2 linked regions of the Tribolium castaneum genome follow. The protein of the gene in region 2 purifies or fractionates together with the protein of the main gene of each other region. This does not show direct contact. Links are inferred from orthologs where the notes say so. Each region holds a gene or a part of one and is shown on either strand. Other genes may lie near its edges.

Region 1 (11,451 bases), on a different chromosome or scaffold from region 2:
ACCTCGCGAATGTTTAAGATTTTAGCAACAACGTCATTTTTCTGCCATGTTCCTCTGTATGTTACGCCACTGGGTGTTGAGGCGATTTCTTCACGTTGGTGTAATTCTTTAATGTTGATGCCTTTGTGACGGGAGAGGGTGGCGTCACGTGAGCGGGTTTTCAGGCCCAGCCAACTTTGGTCTTTGAAGATGATCTTTTTGAGGTCTTGCCCGGATTCGACCGCCATGTCGTGGAGGATTTTCGCCAAATTGCCTGTGATTATTACATAAAAAAATAGATATTTGTACACATGGTTTTTTCGACGACTTCGTTACAATCAAATTTAAATATTCCGTAAAAGTAGGAGATATTTATGAGTTATAAAAAAGACCAATTTTTGAAAAATCACTGCGAAGTCGCTTATGAATATTTTCCGATAAATTTGCAACAGAAAAATTCAGAATACCTTGTAGTTTTAGTAAATAGACAACTTTTAGTTAAAGCACGCAGATAATATACAGGTTGTACCAAAATGCAAGAAGTTAAATAACTCATTTTTTTCAAATGGAACATCCTGTATTTTATTAAATGTATCGAAAGCATTTTTGATAAGCTTTCTAACGGTATAGGGTTTGCATAGCAAATTTAAAATATTTTTCGAAACTGTTCAAAAAAATATATTTTATTACAAGAAAATTTGTTAGCCTAAACTTTGATAGTCAAATAGTAATTAATTTTTTGACATGTACTAATGTGACTAATTACACAAGTAATCTAATTATTACCTGATACATAAATAAATTTCACTCATTAAGAATTATTAATAAAATAAATAAAAAAAATATTTTTTATTTTTTTGAACACTTTAGGAAATATTGTAAATTTGCTATAAAAACCGTATATCAATAGAAAGCTTATGAAAAATGTAATCGACACATGTAAAGAAATACATGGTGTTCCATTAAAAAAAATTAGTTATTCAACTTTTTGCGTTTTGGCATACTCTGTACATTATTTCCGTGTTTCAAGTAAAAGTCGACTATTTCCTAAAACTACAAGGTATTCAGAATTTTTCTGTTGCAAATTTGCCGAAAAACATTCACAGGCGACTTTGCAGCGATTTTTCAAAAATTGGTCTTTTTGATAACGAAAAGTTGAATAATTTCGAAACGAAAAGAGATAGACCCATAATAGTTTGTATAAAGTTAGATTATTTTCTTGCGTAGAATCTAATCATGCAAAGATATATAGAGTGTTCCATTTAAAAACATATAACTTTAGTTCACCACCCTGTATACAACACCTGTGTACAATAAAAATATTTTCAGTTTGTGGACTTTAAGTCGAATAGGAAAAACGGCATGATAATATTTCGCATAACAAAAAAATTATAGACCGATTACGCATCCCTGATATATAATATATATATCACATGGCACGGATGCATTACTTCACTCGCCTTCGGCTCGAGTCGCAAAATTCTCACGAGTTGAACACTGTAATTTTTCTAATAATATTAAATTCTAAATAGAGAAAGTTTTTTCCATAGGTGGTTGAAGACAGTGACTAACTTCCACAACTAAAAATATATTACAAATGTGCAAATTTTTTGTACGATTAGAAAAAAATGAAGTCGTCGAAAAATTATTTTGTTTTGTTGAGTAAGAGTTCAATTTACCTCTTGCTTTGTCAAGTGGAGTGTCTCCATATTTGTTAGCAAGAGAGACTTTGGCGTCATGATGGACCAAATCTTCGGCAATTTCTCTGTATCCCCAAAAACAGGCGTAGTGTAAAGGAGTGTTGCCGTGTTCGTTTGTGAAATTTACGTCAGCTCTTTGACGTAATAACTATAAAAAAATGAGTTGTTTAGAAATTAAGATGATATTTTAAGATTTAATTGGTTTTTATTAAACATTATTAAGTCACAGTTTTAGCATAAGTTCTCCAAAAATGGAAGAACAGCTCTACAAATTAAAAAATTTATAAAATTTATTTGGAAGGTCAACGTTAGACAATTAGAATCTTTTTTTAGATGAAAATATTTGAAATAGTGAAAGCATTAAGTTTGCTGAAAGTGTTGGAAACTGTTTTTATTTACCACATATGCGTTTTAAAACTAGTCTAATTAGTTTTAGAAAACTGCCCAGTAAAAAAAGTCAAAATCGACCTCTGTCGAAATTTTCAAATTCCATTATTTTCTAAGATAAATAAGTGCCTTCTTTTAAAAAATTATCCTGCATAAATTAAGAGTTACAAGTTCGAAGTTTGAGATCAACATTGCCTGAATCAAAAAATAATTTAATAAAAAAATAAATAATTTTTTTTATTTATTTATTATTTAATAATAAAAAAATAACAATGAAAATATTTATATTCATTTTTTTTTCTTTTAAAATCCTTTAAATTACCATTTATTTCACTCCTAATGTAAAAAAATTTGTTCATTGTTTAGTGAAAAAAATGCGCTCCAAAAGATAAAAACAAAAAACGTCACTCGCAGTACGAAAGAAATAGACCGAACTAGTAAAAAAAATTGTCAAATACAATTTAAGAAAATTTCAAGTATGTTTATAAACATATTTTTTTTAAAGTATGTCCATGACGAAAATAAATTTGATTCCAAGTTAAACAAAGTCATGGGAAAACAAAAAAAATAGTAGTTTTGAAATATAGCTTGACTTGACTAGTAATAGATATACAAATAGCTAAATGTTTATGATTTGGAGTGGAATTCCTGATTAAAGTACACTATTTTCTGTATATTATGGTGCATAGAATGAAATAAACAATTTAAACAATAGATGCAAATTGTTTCTTTAAAACATTCTTTGTAAAAAAACTAATGTTGATTTCATCGTAAATTGCTGTTTTTTTAAGAGGATTACCACTACACATTGGCTTTTAAACAAAAAATGCTAGGTTTCAAGTATTACATAAAATTAATTTTCCAATTTTTTTTTAAGATATTATTGTGCCTGAGTCGGTAGTCGACTATTTTTTCCGACCTTGTTTATATCTTGTTAACAGTATTTTAGGAAAAGTGCTGAGTATTTCAATCTACACGAGAATTTTCAGATAATTAAAATTAAAATAAAAAAAAACAAATAAAAATAAATAGCTCCCAACATTTGTCCATTATCAGACTAGATTTATTAAATGGACAATTGGCGTTTTATTCAAAAAGTTGACAAAATCGATCAACATAATAAACATTTTTAAAATGACGAATTATGAGAAGTTCAGAAAAATGTAATTAAATTATTTTATTAAAAATAAAAAAATAGAACTGGAACAGCTGATTTCAACATTTAATTTATTATAATCGAAAAATTTTTTCATCACTTTTGTTGATTATGATCATAAGTAAGTACATATCTAGAATAACTCATTTAAAATTAAGAGAGACGAAGCTTCATAATTTTTAATCAAAAGTTTTCGGATAATAATAAAATGATTTATTTTAGAGCCAAAAACACTTTCGTAAAAAACATTTATTGTCACTTCCACGTAGTGTTTTTGTTTTTTATAATTTTCTAAAAATCCCAAAATTTCTACAATCCGAATTTAAATGATTTTTCTGCTACAAGTTTTTCAAGAAAACAAGTTAACATCTATAAAATCGATACCATTTATTATTAAATAATAATATTATTATTATTATTATTAAATAATTAATGAGTTGTAAAACGATGTACTTATCAGTAATTACATATTTTAATTTATTTATTATTTTTATTATTGTTTTATGAATTCAGTATCAAAGATTGTATTTATATGGAGAGGTAGTAAAAGGCATTTTTTATTGAGCGACAACTGTAAATTCTAATTTAGTATCATTGAGAAAAATTATTAGGACCTTCAATAACACATTAAACATTACTATAAAACAAACAACGCTACTTAAAACTAAAAATCAGTAATTGCAAAATAACTTTACACAACTTACTAATTTATCTTTTTATTTCTTTATTTTTTTGGTAGGTACAATTGATTAAAAAATAATCACACATAAATCAAAAAATTGATGACTTGTTTATTTAATAGGAATAGAAGGTTTCTGTTATTTTATTTTGCATGTTATTTGAAGGTTTAAGTACTTTCAGTAAAAAAAATACAAATTTTTTTAACCAGTTTATTGTTAACATAAGATAACTATTAAATAAATTGCGAGCTAATAATAGTTTAATTTAGAAGAAACAACAAAAAAATTAAAGTATTTTGTTTATTTTTTGCAAGCTCAACTTCAGCAAATGATTGTTCTTATTTTTTGCCAATAATTTTTTCACTTTTTCCTTGGTTTCCTTCTCATTCTGAGTTGTTAGATACATAAAAAAATACTGCTTTCTAATGAGAAACGTGTACTCGGATTACGTCTCAATTTGTTGTACTTTTATAGTGTATTCGCTTGAAAAAAAGTAGGTTAAAACCCACATTCTATAAAAGCACATAAAAAAAAATTCCTAAAAATGGTTGAGGAATAATTTTTAATTTTCCTAACCGTGACGATGATAATTTTTTCCAACTCTTTTTAGTAAAAAGTCAAACGATAAAGTGACAACCTTGTAAGTCTTCAGACTTATTATTACTCTTATATTAATAAATTAATAAAATACCAACCATAAGCACAATCTCCCTGTGCCCATGTGCAGCCGCCAGATGCAAGGGCGTATCGTCCCCCCGATTGGTGGCATTGACCCTCGCCCCCCTGAGCAAGAGCATCTCCACAATCTTCGTGTGCCCCCTTTTCGCCGCCCAGTGCAGCGGACTGAACCCATGGTCATCCCTAAGACAATCACCAATCAGTAAAAACCAAACAAACCCACACACACCCAATTATTACACAACACGGCCACACCACTGACCAAATTAGGCAATGCCATTAAACTAACCTCAAAGACACAACTCACCCCTGGTTCATGTCGTGCTCGGTGTCATCGAGCCAAACCCGCACCTGGAGGGCATTCCCGTCCCTGCACCACTGGAAAATATCCTCCATTTCGGCAATTTGCCCAAAAGTGGGGCACTTGTACCAGCAAATGGGCGTTCACTTGGGTGGTGTTTAAAACGCGAGAATTGGTTTTTATTTATAATGAGTGCGTTCAGTCGCTTATCCGGAAGCTATTTACCGCATTACTTTGATAAGATAAGGATTTTTTTGGTAATTAGGTGAGGAAAACTAAACACTTTTTTACACAACAGACGGCCATATTTGGACGTGTTGCCAACCGTGCCGCTTGAAATTCCCCAAACGGATAAAAAAGTTGATTTTTTAATTGTTTTAAAGGATTTTAAATCAAACGTAACGTCCTAAAAACTGTCCCCCGCTCCGTTAGGTAACAATTAGTTAGATTGGGCCCCCAAATTAATTAAAAATTTACCATAAAAGGAATGGGAAGTTACCAAAGGTTGGCAACACGCCGGCGGGAGTTCCAAACACGGGTTAAAGCACATAGTTTAATAAACTTTGTTATACACATTTTTGGAAGTAAATATATTATGTACAAGTCCTGTTAGCGAGACCAATGTAATAAATAACAAATCAGACAAATAATCTAGCTAATTTGCACCAGTTAAACGAATTTGAAAAAAAAGGTGCATAGAGAGCTACAAGCTTAACATTAATACTTTCTATAAAATTTCCAAGTCTACCAACTGCCTCACATACACACCAGACTGTTTAACAGCCAAAAAACTGCTCGATATGTTTGCAAAACTACACATACACTTCCACAAAATCTAATTGGTTAGTGAAAAACAATTGTTCATATGTGCTTCTTTGGAACAAAACAACTAATAAAATGATCAGAGTGGCCATGAACCTTGAAACACAGTTGGCGGTACTGCCTGTCAAACGTCGCAGGTCACTCTAAACGAAAATTACTAAACCCGCCTACTAGACTACGCTCGTTCGTCTTGAAATAAAAAATTGCAAAAATATGATCTCACTGACAGAATCATGAAGGTGTAAAAAGTGTAATTAGTTCATGTCCTTCACGAGTTATACAAAATAGTTCTTGACGCGCGATCAAGAAATACATTGTCTATAAATAAAAAAACAAGTAAATAATAAACGTATCACTTTGTAACAATAAACAAAAAATAACATATACACAAAAATCTTCTGTTGTATTTAAAATGATAGGGAAAAAATCATTAGGTACAAAAATATCCCTCGGACCGCCCGCCCTCGAAGCAACACATCATCACATAAATAATTGGCAGTAGTTTCGCAACAATTTTGTACTAACAATTCGTCATTTTCGTAATATTTACAATAACACAAGTTAACGAGATATCAGTGTAAATACAACAAAAGATACGTAGCTTCTCACAGCTCAAAGCAAACAGTGTGAAAACTGCTTCAGACCTATAATACACAAAGTTACTTATTTTTAGAAAATAACTACGGGATAGGTACAGTTATTGAAAAGACGAGAAAATCATAATCGAAGCACTCTGGTGTGATTTTTCACGATATTTCCTAAAAATAAGTGCTCGTTATAGCGCGATTAACTGCCGATTTGTTGGCGCACATAAAAGTGCGGTTTATTTTTTTGTTGGGGTCCCTCTTTGCGTCAGACCTTCGAACCGCTTGAACGTGTAGTTGATGAACACCCAGTCTTTGTAGTTGACCTCACCGTCCTGAGGCATAGGCGCAGAAGCTGGAAATAAAAATGTTAAAACAAACACAATAAAAAAATTACAAAAAATTGTACTCTTACTGTTTTTATTCTTTTATTTTAATTTTTTATTTATTTTTTTATTTTTTATTTTAAAAAACCTGGTTAACAGATGAATTTTTACTAAACTGAACACAATATGCAAAAAAATAATTCGCGTTCTACGCCAGAGGTGACTTTTTAATCTGTGAATGAAAAAACGCTAAAACGTTTGAAAAAGGTAAAAAATAATATTCTATTCAACAATACTTCCGAGACTTACCTACCTTATTATAAAAAAAGCAAAAATTTCATCACAATATTCCGTGACTAAAAGGCTTGAGTTTGTAAAGTTTCAAAAAATATTTTGAGTTATTTTTGACAAAATTTTGCATTTTTTAGATAAATAAAACGTGTTAACATTAATATCAATATCGAATTATGACGATTTCATAACCGGGATTGACACAATAATTTCGCAAAACTTCATCATTTTTTATTTCAAAAACATACGTAAATGGTGGGAAAAAATGCTCAATTTACATTATGTGCTCAAACATATGAAAAACTAGATAGTTTTTTAGTTCGATCTATCGAAAAACGCACAAAATTAGAGTTTAAACAAGTTTAAACAGTCAAAAAAAAACTGTAAATTTTATTTTTACGATATTTCCGAAATAATTAATTAAGTGTTATAATGAAATGAAAACCTCGAATTCTGTTTCTTAATAATAAAAAACTACACAATAATGTCAATTTCTATACAATTTAATAATTGTTTATTGTTTTAATAATAATAATAACTGGGTTTCACAAATTTTCACTGCAGTACATCATTATTTCTTTCAAAAAAAAATACCAAAAACAGTTGAAAAATGCGTTGAAATGCTTGAAAAAGAAAAAAAATAACGAAATTTTGAAACCAATGTAGTGGTTTTTTTTGCAAACGGCAAAAGTTAAACCATTTTCGATCTAATTGGATAATTTTGAAAAAAAAAATTTGACGGTATTTCTTGAAATAATTAAAGTGTTTATCTAAACAGGGGCTACAAGACAAAAAAATAAAATCATTTTTGTAATTTTGCAATCGGGCTTAGCAAGTTTTCGTTATGTAATAGATGGTTATAGAAAGGGCCGAAAAATGCAAACAATAATTCGTGTTTTTTCGGGTTATGCTTAACGCAATTTCGCTAAATAATTGCTATTCTAGCTAAAAATTTCCTAAAACACTTGAAAACATTGTCAAAAGAGTAACATTTGATATAATAATCTAATAATAATAATATGATTTAACAAAATCTCGAAGAAAAAAAGAGTTGTAAGTTAAAAACTTACCTTAACTCTTGAAAAAATTAGTAGCTTAACAACGGCATATTTTAGAAATTTTTAAACACTTTCGTTTTATTTTTGAAGAAAATTTGTGAATTGATTGCATTTTTGGTTAAACAAATTACGTAAAACTGCAAAATAATGTAAATTTCGAACCAGTTTAGTGATTTTTCAGTTCGCTTTGGTAAAATCTTGCAATTTTTCCGTTTATTTTCGACAAAATTGCCTTTCTGGTTATGTTAAAAAATTATCGACAATTTAGTGTTTATTTTTTCAGTGCAGTTAAACTATTTTCGACCAAATTTTGTGATTTCTGGATTAATTATTATCAAATATTGTAAAATAGTGGTTGTTTGGAATTAAAAATAAAGTGATAAAAAACCCAAAAAAATTAAGTTAATGATGTTTTCGACTCAATTCAGTGGTTTTTGGGAAAACTTCTTACGATATTTTCCAAAATAATTAAGTGTCAGAGTAAAAAACGAGTTACAACAAAAATAACCGACTGTTTATTTAAGCCAAATTGCTATTCTAACTAAAAATTTACTAAAACACTTGAAAACGTTGTCAAAAGAATAACATTTGATATAATAATCTAATAATAATAATATGATTTAACAAAACCTCGAAGAAAAAAAAGAGTTGTAAGTTAAAAACTTACCTTAACTCTTGAAAAAATTAGTAGCTTAACAACGGCTTATTTTAGAAATTCTTAAACACTTTTGTTTTATTTTTGAAGAAAATTTGTGAATTGATTGCATTTTTGATTAAACAAAATAAACAAAATATTACGGAAAACTGCAAAATAATGTAAATTTCGAACCAGTTTAGTGATTTTTCAATTCGCTTTGGTAAAATTTTGCAATTTTTCCGTTTATTTTCGACAAAATTGCCTTTCTGGTTATGTTAACAAATTATCGACAATTTAGTGTTTTTTTTTTCAGTTCAGTTAAACTATTTTCGTCCAAATTTTGTGATTTCTGGGTTAATTATTATCAAATATTGTAAAATAGTGGTGGTTTTGAATTAAAAACAAAGTGATAAAACGCCCAAAAAAAAAAGTTTAATGATGTTTTCGACCAAATTCGGTGGTTTTTGAGAAAACTTCTTACGATATTTCCCAAAATAATTAAGTGTCAGAGTAAAAAACGAGTTACAACAAAAATAACCGACTGTTTATTTAAGCCAAATTGCTATTCTAACTAAAAATTTCCTAAAACACTTGAAAACGTTGTCAAAAAAGTAACATTTGATATAATAATCTAATAACAATAAGATGATTTAACAAAATCTCGAAGAAAAAGAAGAGTTGTAAGTTAAAAACTTACCCTAACTCTTGAAAAAATTAGTAGGTTAACAACGGCTTATTTTAGAAATTTTTAAACACTTTCGTTTTATTTTTGAAGAAACTTTGTGAATTGATTGCATTTTTGGTTAAAGAAATTACGTAAAACTGCAAAATAATGTAAATTTCGAACCAGTTTAGTGATTTTTCAGTTCGCTCTGGTAAAATCTTGCAATTTTTCCGTTTATTTTCGACAAAATTGCCTTTCTGGTTATGTTAAAAAATTATCGACAATTTAGTGTTTATTTTTTCAGTGCAGTTAAACTATTTTCGACCAAATTTTGTGATTTCTGGATTAATTGTTATCAAATATTGTAAAATAGTAGTGGTTTTGAATTAAAAACAAAGTGATAAAACGCCCAAAAAAATTAAGTTAATGATGTTTTCGACCCAATTCGGTGGTTTTTGGAAAAACTTCTTACGATATTTCCCAAAATAATTAAGTGTCAGAGTAAAAAACGAGTTACAACAAAAATAACCGACTGTTTATTTAAGCCAAATTGCTATTCTAACTAAAAATTTCCTAAAACACTTGTCAAAAAAGTAACATTTGATATAATAATCTAATAACAATAAGATGATTTAACAAAATCTCGAAGAAAAAGAAGAGTTGTAAGTTAAAAACTTACCCTAACTCTTGAAAAAATTAGTAGCTTAACAACGGCTTATTTTAGTAATTTTTAAACACTTTCGTTTTATTTTTGAAGAAAATTTATGAATTGATTGCATTTTTGGTTAAACAAAATAAGCTAACATATTACGTAAAACTGCAAAATAATGTAAATTTCGAGCCAGTTTAGTGATTTTTCAGTTCGCTTTGGTAAAATCTTGCAATTTTTCCGTTTATTTTCGACAAAATTGCCTTTCTGGTTATGTTAAAAAATTATCGACAATTTAGTGTTTTTTTTTTCAGTGCAGTTAAACTATTTTCGACCAAATTTTGTGATTTCTGGATTAATTATTATCAAATATTGTAAAATAGTGGTGGTTTTGAATTAAAAACAAAGTGATAAAACGCCCAAACAAATTGAGTTAATGATGTTTTCGACCCAATTCGGTGGTTTTTGGAAGAACTTCTTATGATATTTCCCAAAATAATTAAGTGTCAGAGTAAAAAATGAGTTACAACAAACTGGTTATTTAAGCCAAATTTTCGAGAAAATTGCGTTAAAAAACGGTAAAACAATGTTATTTTCGAGCAAATTACAAAATAGCTCCTTCGTCGAATTAATTTCGACTACAAGGGAAACAACGTTAGGAAAAAGTCAAAATATATAAGGTTTATTAATTCAATTCACTGAGAAATGGTTTAGAAAAATATCTCGAAAAAACTTAGTTTCACGTTTAAAAACTTACCTGAACTCTTGTAGAAGGCAAAAATTACATCATTTTCGACAAAATTTCGTAAACCATTCCGTTTCGAAGTAAAAAAAAACATGTTAAAACGTCCACATAAGAAAAAACTTGTGTAAGTCTCAACCAAATTTTGTAATTTCTATTCGATTTATTGCGAAATTTATGACAAAATTAAGAAAAACTCAGTGTCTAGGGCTATTATTATTTTCGTCAAAATTTACCAAATTAGTGGCGTTTTTGGAAAACACAATGCGAAAATATTACGTAACATTGCAAAATTATGTCAAATTCGCTCCAATTTGATAATTTCTCAGTCCAGCTTAGCACAATTTCGTAAAAAACATTGTATTTATTTTAAAAACGTGTTCGCACGCACGGGAAAAGCAAAGATTTTCGACCAAATTTTCCATAAATCTCGGTAAGACAGTGAAAAAACCTAACGACATTTTCAATTCCAAAGAAAAAAAAAACAAGACTTTTTTAACGACTTGTTTTGAAAAAAATAGGAAAGTAAGAGCACAATTTTACTGTTAGGCAAACTTCCAACTTACGAATTTCAAGCTTGACGTCTGGGAAATCGTCGAAATTCGACGTATCATCTATCGACTTAACTTCTACAGGTATCGCGGCTGGCCTTTCCCTAATATGTTCCCAGTCAACTCCCCGAAAGAAGGGAATTATTTTCAAATCTTCTATACCCTTCTGTGAGCCCAACCTTCGTTCGGCTTCACAGCAAAACCTAAAAAAAAAATGATTACACACCTTATAAAATTGCTAGGAAA
Region 2 (10,578 bases):
AAAAACCTTCAGTTTCACAGTGAACAATTTGTGAAATCAAACCAAAGTATATTATACATTTTTTCCAACAGCAGGTCCGTAAGCAAGACTAAGTTTAGGAGAAAAAAGTTCAAATTAAAACGATGGTATATGTAAATTTAATTGAATAAATAAATTTAAAACATATTATCTAGTTAAAGTGCTATTTTATCTACTCAAAAGAGTTAATAAAGAGATACTTTAACATTTGCTGTAGAAAAAAATATTTACACGCCAAACCTACCAAACGGATCGACTTTTAATAGCTGATTGTTTCTACTACACGATGCTAAAAACAGTTCGTTTTTTAATTGATCACTGAAACAAGCGTATTATGTAATGAATAACCGAAAGAAAAAGTACCTGTGTGCGCTTGAGTTAAAATTTTTCAGTCTAAACGGGCTGTATCCACTCGCTAAAAAAATTAATTTGGGGAAAGGCACCATATTCGTATTAATCTCATTCATATCAATGTTCATTTTCCCCCCAAATCTCGAGCCACTCGTGAGATGCAAAATCATATCAACGATTATCTTGTTCATGTCTTCAAACGGCCTAAATGGAGAGAAATACGTTTTATTTTTAGCACTGTACCGCCCCGTGTGTCTTAAAGCAATGTCCAGAAGTGCCCGATTTTCAACGGGAAACACACAAGTGGCACTTTCCAGCAGTTGTTCCGTGGCGAAAGCCATGTTATAGGGGCCCGTAATCACGTCTTCAGTGCCTGTGGGGTACACACACGCTACGAACCTAATTTTTGGTCAATAAAAATTTGATTTTTTATCACTTACCGGTCGATGTGTGGAAAGAAATCTGCAAGCAGTTTCACAATGAAAGTCCCCAGCCCCGAGCCCGTGCCACCCCCCATTGAAAATAAAACCAAAAACCCGTGCAAATGGTCACATTTCTCGACGTTGTATTGGATCGCCTTGAGGATTTTTTGCTTGAATTTGGGGCCGTGACTGCAGTAGCCTTCAGCCCAGTTGTTCCCAGAACCGGGATAATGCGTTATCAGAGATTTGCTGTCGAATAAGTCGCGAAATCGCCCCGACTTGAACCTGGCAACCACACTGTCCTCCATGTCGATACATAAAAACTAACATGAGATTGAAGACAATTCGAGACAACAACTCACTCTCGCTTTGGCTTTACTTTTCAACAAGTCGCTCAATGTCTCAATTGTTGTGTTCGTTGGACCCATGTTGAAGAAACTCGACATGAACTGCTGCAATTCCGCTTTGTTTCGTTTGGGTTTGGCTGGGGAGTCGGTCGTTGTCTTGACCCCATACTCTTGGAGGATTTCCGGGAGGAGAAAACTGCCGATTTGGTTGCCACATTGCCCGACTGGACGTGACAATTGAACCACAAATTAGTCTCACAAGTGGCTTACCTTGTATCACGATGAATTCACTCATTAATTTTTTACGAACGGCTCATAACCTCACTTTATTCAAATTTGAACCAAGCGCGCCAAAAACCGCCACTTCTCTCTAGCACACCCAAGACGCATCTTCCCACCTTGTTGGAGTTTGACGGGTTGCTAACTTCTTAGAAACTGTCAAACAAAAAATGTAACGGAAACTCAAAATACAAAATTATTTCATTGTAGTTCACGAATTTTCAAATTTATACGTAAAATGCACTTTATTACTTTAGTCTTTTTGGTTCTCACGGCCGCTTCCGCGGGTCGGGCCTTCAATGGTATGTGCACAAGTTGTAGGTTATGTCTTAACGTTTTGTAATTTTTAGTTCATTACTTGCATCAGGGGGAGAAGTTCTCAGCTGGGGTGCAAAGGATGCCCCCAGAGTTTCATATTTTTTGCTACGCGGGCAAGCCCAAGTATTTGATACACATTTGGCAAAGTGTTATGGTACAAAAAACAGGTTTGTGGTATAAGTTAGTCTAAAGTTTTGTACAGCTCCAGTTGGATCATAAATCCGGTGATTATACTCAATATGACGGTCCGTCCCCTGATGCCGTTATGGAAGAATTCAATGCCAATAGGTACAGTTGGAATTTAAATTTATTTACAAATAAGCAGAAGCAAATGCATTTGGACCCATTCAATGAGAGCTGTATTGGAATAGACAGCAGGGAGAGCTACACAGTGACCCTAAATGTAATCAGTAAGGACGGACAAAGTGTTTGTAACAAAATCTAATTTTTTCCGTAGGAATAGATTACTGGAAAGTGCTTCTTCTACTGGGGGGCATTTCCCTCTTTCTTACAGCAAACAGACTGAGCAGAAACACCCTGTTTTATTACATTTGTGGCATTTCACTCGGAATTTGTACTTCGTTCCTGATTCTCATTTATTTAATTAGCAGACTTTTCCCGAGGGTAATATTCTAAATTTTAATTTTTTCTGTTCCAAGTCAAATTTCAGAAACCAATAATGTACGGAGTGGCTGCGTTTGGATGGACGGTCGGAATCTACCTTTTGCAACTTTTGTGGGACAACGTCCGTGTCATTTTACTAAATTACAAATCCTACGTTGTGTGGTACACTCTAATAACTGGTTTTATCAGTTTCATAAGTACGTTACTGTATTTTTTGCACCTGAAATTATTTTGTGGTTAGTTTGCTACAGATGGGGCCCCATAGAGAACGAGAGAAGCCGCAATTTGATCCGATGGGCCCTGCAAGGGGCTGGTCTTATTGCAATTTTTTTCAGCACCCAATTCCAGGAGGCGGCAATGGGTCAAATCGTTGCCCTTTTACTCTTCCACAACGTGCCATCAACGTGGCTTTTAAAACCGAAAACATACTGGTAAGAATTTTTGTTTTCAAAATTTGTTGTATAAAAAACGTAAGTTGTGAGCTAATTGTTTCATTGTTATGTTTCGTATTTTTCAAGGAAAAAACGATTTCCGCCGAAAATTAAACCACTAACTAACGACGAGTATTACGAGCAGGGAGTTAGGGAAACAACGAAAGCGTTGGAGGATTTGAGGAAATATTGCTCAAGTCCTGAGTGTAAGCAGTGGCAAGTTGCTATGAAATTGAAAGATGTCAAAAGGTGGGTCAAGTTCTTAGACAAGAGGGTAAACTATAGAACGCTTAGTCTCATAGATTTTTGTGCCCTTTTGTGGTAGGTGAAAAATAAGACGCAGCCAACTAGATATCCTGGCTTTTTATTTATTTTATTTAAAAGTACCTAATTTAGGTTTCACAAATTGTTCATAATGAAACTGAAAGTAGTATCACAAAGAGAACTTTTGTGCAACTCCGTCGTGCTCCAAAACCATTCGTGCCACAATGGAAGGTACCCTAGTACGGCGATTTTTTTTTGATAAACTAGAGAGGATTTCAAAAAAAATTATTCTTAGAAAATGGTCACATTTTTAAAGTACTTGATGTTTTTTTTTTTTTCGAAAGGCACATAATTTAAGCAAAAACGCTTGGGTCCACACTTTTGCCCAACGCTGGTAAAATGAAGTCAACAGACAGCGTAGCTATTTATACACTTTCTGATTAAGAAAAAGTTGATAACAGCTTGTTACCCGTCTTTTTAATCCACTCCACAAAATGTCCAGGATATTTTATAACAACTTTGCACGCTGCAAATTCTCATAATCTAATGAATTTATTATTTGTGACTATTAGTCAACAGAGAATTTTTTTAATTTCGTTTTTTTTCCGTGCGTTTCCAAAAAATACGTAGGAGTTCTATAGGTTACTGTCTATGGTCAAGTTAGCACAAGTGGCGCCATCTAAGTTTTTTTTCAGATTTGCGTCGTTTATGGAAGGCAATTCGCATTTGAGTGATGAGGAAATTCTAGAGTACGAAACGTCGATCCACACGACGGATTTAACGGACGATGAGAGTGAATATACGGAGGATGAGCAGTGTTTTTAAGACTGACAATTTCGTTAATTATTTATTTACTTATTTGCATTATTGTAAAAACTGTAAAATACAATTAATTTTTACTTAAAGCTGGTACATCCAAGGCCACAAAAATCAAATAAAAAAAAACGTAATTAGTATAATGGCAGTATTTTTCGTTTTAGTTAATTAGTCAATTAATTAGGTAAAAAAAGGCACGAGTTCAACGTATTCGCGATATTTTTTTCGCTTTGTCGACGCAAGGTGGTGGAACTTGTGGTTTATTAGTCGAGTAGCGATTGTACGTTCTGAAAAACAAACGTTAAACTAAATTAAAGTTTTATAAAACGTACATTCTGTAAGCCTCTGAGCGCAAATATTCCATCAAATGCCCGACTCCTAGTTGCAACTGATCCGCGATAGGAGCCACCCATTCATTGCCTTCAAACCTAAAAACAGACTTATTCGACGTCATGTCGAGATTCCCGAGTTCAGGGGGCAGTATCGTGAGGCGATTTCCTTGCACATGGAGCTCACGCAGTCTCGTCAGCTCCCCCAACTCTCTTGGTAACTCAATCAAATCGTTTTCCCTCAAAACCAACTGAAACACCCCGTTATTCCCACCTCAAATAACATAACGTCAAATATTTGCTTACAATCTGCAAGTTTTTGAGATTTTTCACCTCGGGAGGTAGGTACTCAAAGTCGTTGTCGCCCAAATACAGGGCTCGTAACGTTTCTAGATCAAAAATTAATCATTTGGAGGGAACCAATTGTAAATTACCCATCATGAAGAAATTTCCTGGGAGTGATTTTTCGTTCAAATTGTTGTAAGTCAGATCGAGAACTTCAAGAACTGGAAAGGCGCCAAAGCCGCGAGGAAGATTATAAAGACGATTGATTGCCAAGTTGAGAATTCGTAACTTTGGCATTGATGATAAAGAAAGGGGGAGTTCCTCAATGTGGTTGTTTGTTAAGTTCAAAATTTCGAGGTTCGTCAAGTTTGCAAGAGCCGGCGGTACGGCTAAAAAGGGTTTTTAGTTTACGGCCCAAGGGCGGAAGCACCCACTTACATTTGATCTTGTTGTGGCTTAGCGTAAGCCTGGTAATGTAAGTCATATTAACTAAAAAATAAATCAATCAGTTCCGTGTTCTATTAATAATTCTATTTATCTTATTATCTATGTAGTAAAACTTATTCCCCATTATTAGAGATAAAAAATTGTATTATTATTTATTTATTTTTCTTGGGAATGTTAGTTAATTTTGGGCCACGCCCACCCAGGTGGAACAAGATACCAAATTAGGTAAAACCTTGCCGAGGAGTGATTCCACTTACGTAAACCTGGTGTTTCTTCGAACGAAGAAATGGCCTTATCGGCCAAATCAATTTCGAGATTTCTTATTTCCCGAGCTTCGTCTAAAACCTTTTTAGCCTTAGACATTTTGCTTGTGTTTGGAAGGCACGAAACTGGTGCTTGATTCATTGCGCGCGCACGAAAAGCCCGTCAAATTTAAAAAGCAACTGACCACGTTGAAAGCCACGCTCGAAGTGAACTTTTTCACTTGCCAGTGGTCTGACTGGACACTTGCCAAGTTTTTGTTACGTGCAGTGAGCTAATTGGATTAACAAACACGTTTGTGCTAATTAATGGAAGGAAGTAGAATAAAGACAGTTGGAACATAAATACAAAAGTTTATTTGACCCTTTCCTTACACTACCTACCTATTACCTAATATTAAATAAAAAAACTTATAATAATCCGGAATGCGGCCCGGCCCTGGACTCTGCGCTATGTGCTGAAACTCAAAAACATACTTGTTTAGTAGAAGTTGAACAAATAGAAAAAATATACGATTTCTAGAACGAAATATTGTGTATATGATAACATGGAACGATACATTTGTTACTCTACTTATTCCAGTCATTGTTACAGCCCTGAAGTGACTTGACTGCGTCTTTGACTGAAATCAGACCAAAGCGTGAAAATAACAATTCAACAAAAACAAATGACAATCCCAAATTCTGATTCCTCACTAATAATAAAAATGCTCAGAAGTTGGGATTTACCAAAATTGGACGCTACCGCACCTTTTGTTTCAGAAGGTGGACTGCAAATCCTTCTGAAGCTACAATCTCCAATCCGTGAAGGTCCTGAAAATTTAAAAAAACAATAATACTCCAGAATTCCACAAAACTAGCTAGTAACAATAACATTTAATCCTAAGTGCAAGGAAAGAGTTTGACTATACATAGACAACAAAGTATACTTAGATACAGACATTTTAAATTAATTCAGTCGTTCCAGGCTTGTTGGGCGTTTTCGCTGCAGGTGGCGCAAAACTCTAGCGAGACCTTGTGTCTTGAAACGTGTAAACATACTCCAACATCGTCTTCGTCTTCATTCGTAGTATAATTGTGCTCTTTTAAATGCAAGTTCTCCTCACTCGTTTCATTCGAAACAGGGTCTAGAATCGTATCAGTGACCCCCATAAAATCATCAAGTTCAATATTATTGAACAGATCGTCAGTAAAATCATTCAATCCACTTTCAGAGTGTGGACTTGAGAGAAAATCTGATTCAGGTGTGGGAAAACTCGGGTAACGTTTTTCCTCCCATGGGTGTGCTGTTTTTCTAGCTATAGCTTGCTTTGGCTTTGAAACATTCAAAGATAAACTCTGATCCAAGGATGTTGTGACTGACATACCTGTACTGTGGTGGATATTTTTTATCAAATTGCCAATATCTGCACTATTTGCAATCACACTTTTCAAGTATTTGATTTCTTTCTTTAAATCAGCGATAAGCAACGACTGACTTTCAATCACTTTGGAATAATTAGCATTCTCGGTTTTCAAATGCCCAACTTCTTTTTCAAGATTTGTGATGTAGATTTTCTTTTTAAGGCGATTTTCGCGGGCCATTATCGCGTTCCGTGACAGCCCCTTGGTCCTACGCCCACCCATCTGGAAACCCAAAAATTCATTACTCCCACGCCCAATTTTGCGTAAACGCGTTGGACTTACTCTTCTGTTGTGTTGAGAAAAGTCCCCATCGTCAACATTTTCCCCATCTGACGAGGAATAGTCGTTTTCCGAAACGTATTTCATACGTTTAGCGTTTGAAACCATCTTGACCCAAATGCGTTGTTTTCCCACCAAGAAAACTGTCTCAAATTCACTCACGAACGCCTTTTTGCTTTTACCAACGACTCACACCTAAAAACTCGTCTATTTTGTGATTTTTTTGGCAATTTTGGAATCGGAGAAACGCCGATAACAACGATAAAGCGCAAAATGGCCGCGCACGCGCGCTTTCATTTGTTTGCAAAAGGTGGTGCAATAAGCGGCCAATCAGCTAGCGCCCTTAAAGCGCCACTTTCAAAAAGTTCAACATGGTAAGTAAACGGTTTTGCCTTGACCTCATTTTGTGAAGTAATGAACCGCAGCAGAGGAAACGTGCAGAGAAACAGGAGCACACCTATGCTTACTTTTGCACGTATACACAACCAAACCGCTTATAAATGCTTGTCCTCGAATTACAATTCATTTGAAATTTTGCAAAGTGCGCTTCGATCATGAGCACACGTTTAGTGCGTCATTTTTGACAATTTTGACACTGTCAGGGGTCGAAGTGTTTATTCCGATCAGATTTTTTGCTACAAGTGTTCCTCAGTGCATGAGATTTCACAAATTAAAGGTTTGTAAATAGTGTTATGTAAGCCAAGTTGAATAACACATTTTTGCGACTTTACAGGATGAATTCAATACTCAACACTTTATTAATAAAGACTCAACATATATTGTTAAGTTCCCAAAATAATAATGTTTACGGTGTGAGAAAAGAACACTCAGACTCCTCAAAATATGCTGGTACAGGTCACAGGGTTAACAATTTGGAAAAGAAATTTTTAGTATGGACTGGTAAATACAAGACTGTTGAGGAAGTGCCTGCTTATGTAGCGTAAGTTTAATCACGAGTTAAAGTGCTTGATAACGTCTGCAATATTGCAATAATCACATTACTTAAATTAGTTACCAAATGTGTCTTCAGATGGCACTAGAGTCGCTCTAGTAGTACCCTGTTGGTACCTACCTTAAAAAAGGCTAGTTATTGTTATTTTTTAGGCAAAATGTTGTGGAACGGGCTAGGAATAGAATGCGTATCAGGATCGCCAATTACATGATGGCTGCAACAGCTTTAGCGTGTCTTGGTATGGTTTATTTGGGCAAACAAGCAGCACAAAGGGGTGAAAGTGTCGCCCAACAAAATATCGAATGGCATCGCCGTTTTAATGAGGATACCAAGAAGGAACAGTAGACTTTTTGTGATTGTACATATTTAGACTAGGATTTATGATATTTAAATGCCTCTTGTAAAATATGGCTATGGAATAAATAGAGTATTGTTATATTCATTTTAAGCCAATAAAAGTGGTTGCAAACTTTTCCTCAGTGCATCAATTGTACATAAACAATTTACACTTTAATGGCTAATAACTTAGAGAAGATGTAAAGCATTTTGACCATGAAGTTTACCAATAGTACAGGTCCCTGTACTGAAATACTCTTAATAGACTGTTTCTTCGTCATTAATATGTAAATAGAGGACAGAAACTAAAAACCGATATTTATCGAGCCGCAAGTTTAATTTTGTTGTTTTAGTATTATCTCACAGACTTGAGTTTAATATTCTCAACGAGACCATATGGAATTTTCAATATAAATATTTTATCTTTCTGCAGCTCTAGATAGGGAACTGATTACTCATTATCATTAGTAACGACTTTTTATAAAACCAATATTATTTGATGATAGACCAGTTAATTTTTGTAGATATATGAAAATTCCACAAATTAGGGCAACTTTCCAACTTCGTTTTTAAATAAAATTCATTGTTAAATTATACGGAATAACTTTATTTGCTGTTCTCTTTCTCCCCGCCTTAAATCAGCTGTAAACATCCACATTTAGCGACCAATTTAAACAATTAAGTTCACCGGTACCACGTGGGTACCACTTATTCCTTCGTCTTTCTCTTCTTTTGTTCGTCTTGTTCCCTCCAGCTTATTTGCGTGTATTTTAAGGTACGTACCCCTCTGTTCTCACTCCTTATCTATTAGAATATTACAAGACATCTTTTCGTCATCTTTGATAATCGAAACGCAGCAAACATGTTTTTCATTGATAAACTGCCGTGACCTTTATTAATCAATAATAGCCCCCCAGTGGATTTAAAAAGCACTTATTTCCCAATAACTCTTCCACTTCGTATTACTAGGCAGTGTAATCCAGTCTTGTTTTTCAGAGATGGCAACAGGTGGTAATTTGGGTAAGTTAACCACGTGTTTGCTCTAACCTTACACCTCAAATGCTCCCAATTCTAGCTCTTTTGTCGGTTTCCAACAAAACCGGTCTCATATCCCTCGGGAAAAACCTTAAAGATTTGGGTTTTACCCTTGTGGCAAGTGGTGGTACTGCGAAGAGTCTCAGGGAGGCGGGGCTCGCTGTTAAGGATGTCTCAGAGATTTCTGGAGCTCCTGAGATACTGGGAGGAAGGGTGAAGACGCTGCATCCGGCAGTGCACGGAGGGATTTTAGCTAGGTATTTTACCCCATAACCCCAACTCTTAAAATTAATCAATTGTTCTTCAGACTTATCCCCTCAGATCAGGAGGATTTGAAGAGACAAAAAATCGATATGATCCGAGTCGTGGTTTGTAACTTGTATCCATTCGTTGAAACAGTTTCAAACCCAAATGTTACAATCGCCGATGCTGTTGAAAACATCGACATTGGCGGCGTTACTCTGCTCAGAGCCGCCGCCAAAAACCACTCAAGAGTCACCGTAGTCTGTGACCCTTCAGACTACGATAAAATCATCACAGAAATGCGTAGCACCCCCAATAAAGACACCACAGCTCAGACTCGGTAACCAATCACCGAAAATAAACCAACCCGAGACTAATTTTCACATTTTAGTCAAACTCTGGCTCTTAAGGCCTTCACACACACCTCAGACTATGACCTAGCCATTACAGACTATTTCAGAAAACAGTATTCGGCCGGAGTTTCGCAACTTACGTTGCGTTATGGCATGAATCCGCACCAAAAACCGGCGCAAATTTTTACTACTTTATCCAAACTACCGTTAACAGTAGTGAACGGAGCCCCCGGTTTTATTAACTTGTGTGATGCCCTCAATGGATGGCAGTTGGTTAAGGAACTTAAGGCGGGTTTGGGGCTCCCGGCAGCTACGAGTTTTAAACACGTATCGCCAGCGGGAGCGGCTGTGGCTGTTCCTCTAGATAGCACTCAGGTAAGTGACCGATTTGACGCAATCGTGGTTGGTCAATAGTGATAAGGGGGAGGTCATTTCTTATCACTAAATGTGGTTGCTTAATCATTTCCATAATTGAAAATTATTAAAATAGCATTCGCTATTTTAATTTGGATTTTTTAATCAATGCTTTCGCTAATATTTAACTGTCTTAAAATTTAATAATAATAATAATAATAGATTATGTTATAAGGAGAAAAAGTGATACTTTTTGTGGTAAAGCTGCGAACATTTATTTCAACTTTTACCTAGTACTATTTTATCCGCCGACGCATTTATTAAGATAAATTGATAAAGATTGAGAGAGATTTTTCAAATTCATTGCTACAGTCTTTGTCACATTTCTATGACCTGACCTGATCGTACCATGATGGACTTTTCGTTTTGGT

The links.
Region 1: the proteins of ics (region 2) and Ilk purify together in Homo sapiens (affinity purification with mass spectrometry; 9 studies listed by BioGRID and IntAct, counting the BioPlex papers as one, with this or other methods). This does not show direct contact. The link is inferred for Tribolium castaneum from reciprocal best matches to the Homo sapiens genes RSU1 and ILK.

What each region holds. Positions count from the first base shown.
Region 1 is NC_087394.1:5,461,211-5,472,661, reverse strand, and holds the start of Ilk (integrin-linked protein kinase), read right to left. Parts: upstream 5,230-11,451; 5' UTR 4,977-5,229; coding exon 4,888-4,976; coding exon of another isoform or gene 4,884-4,887; exon of another isoform or gene 4,870-4,883; intron 4,764-4,869; coding exon 4,598-4,763; intron 1,828-4,597; coding exon 1,659-1,827; intron 254-1,658; coding exon 1-253. Other genes in the region: trc (serine/threonine-protein kinase tricornered), read right to left, coding at 6,527-6,642, 11,221-11,408. UniProt on the Homo sapiens protein: Scaffold protein which mediates protein-protein interactions during a range of cellular events including focal adhesion assembly, cell adhesion and cell migration.
Region 2 is NC_087397.1:10,351,611-10,362,188, forward strand, and holds ics (ras suppressor protein 1), read right to left. Parts: upstream 5,410-10,578; 5' UTR 5,337-5,409; coding exon 5,189-5,336; intron 4,974-5,188; coding exon 4,923-4,973; intron 4,874-4,922; coding exon 4,634-4,873; intron 4,589-4,633; coding exon 4,506-4,588; intron 4,451-4,505; coding exon 4,203-4,450; intron 4,158-4,202; coding exon 4,073-4,157; 3' UTR 3,889-4,072; downstream 1-3,888. Other genes in the region: tubulin epsilon chain, read right to left, coding at 263-336, 382-768, 810-1,114, 1,154-1,362, 1,409-1,433; Nemp (nuclear envelope integral membrane protein), read left to right, coding at 1,656-1,719, 1,768-1,889, 1,938-2,145, 2,193-2,359, 2,406-2,556, 2,601-2,790, 2,878-3,039, 3,750-3,879; uncharacterized protein LOC103315046, read right to left, coding at 6,146-6,817, 6,878-6,982; UPF0389 protein CG9231, read left to right, coding at 7,609-7,814, 7,979-8,171; bifunctional purine biosynthesis protein ATIC, read left to right, coding at 9,161-9,182, 9,238-9,454, 9,505-9,780, 9,832-10,168. UniProt on the Homo sapiens protein: Potentially plays a role in the Ras signal transduction pathway. Capable of suppressing v-Ras transformation in vitro.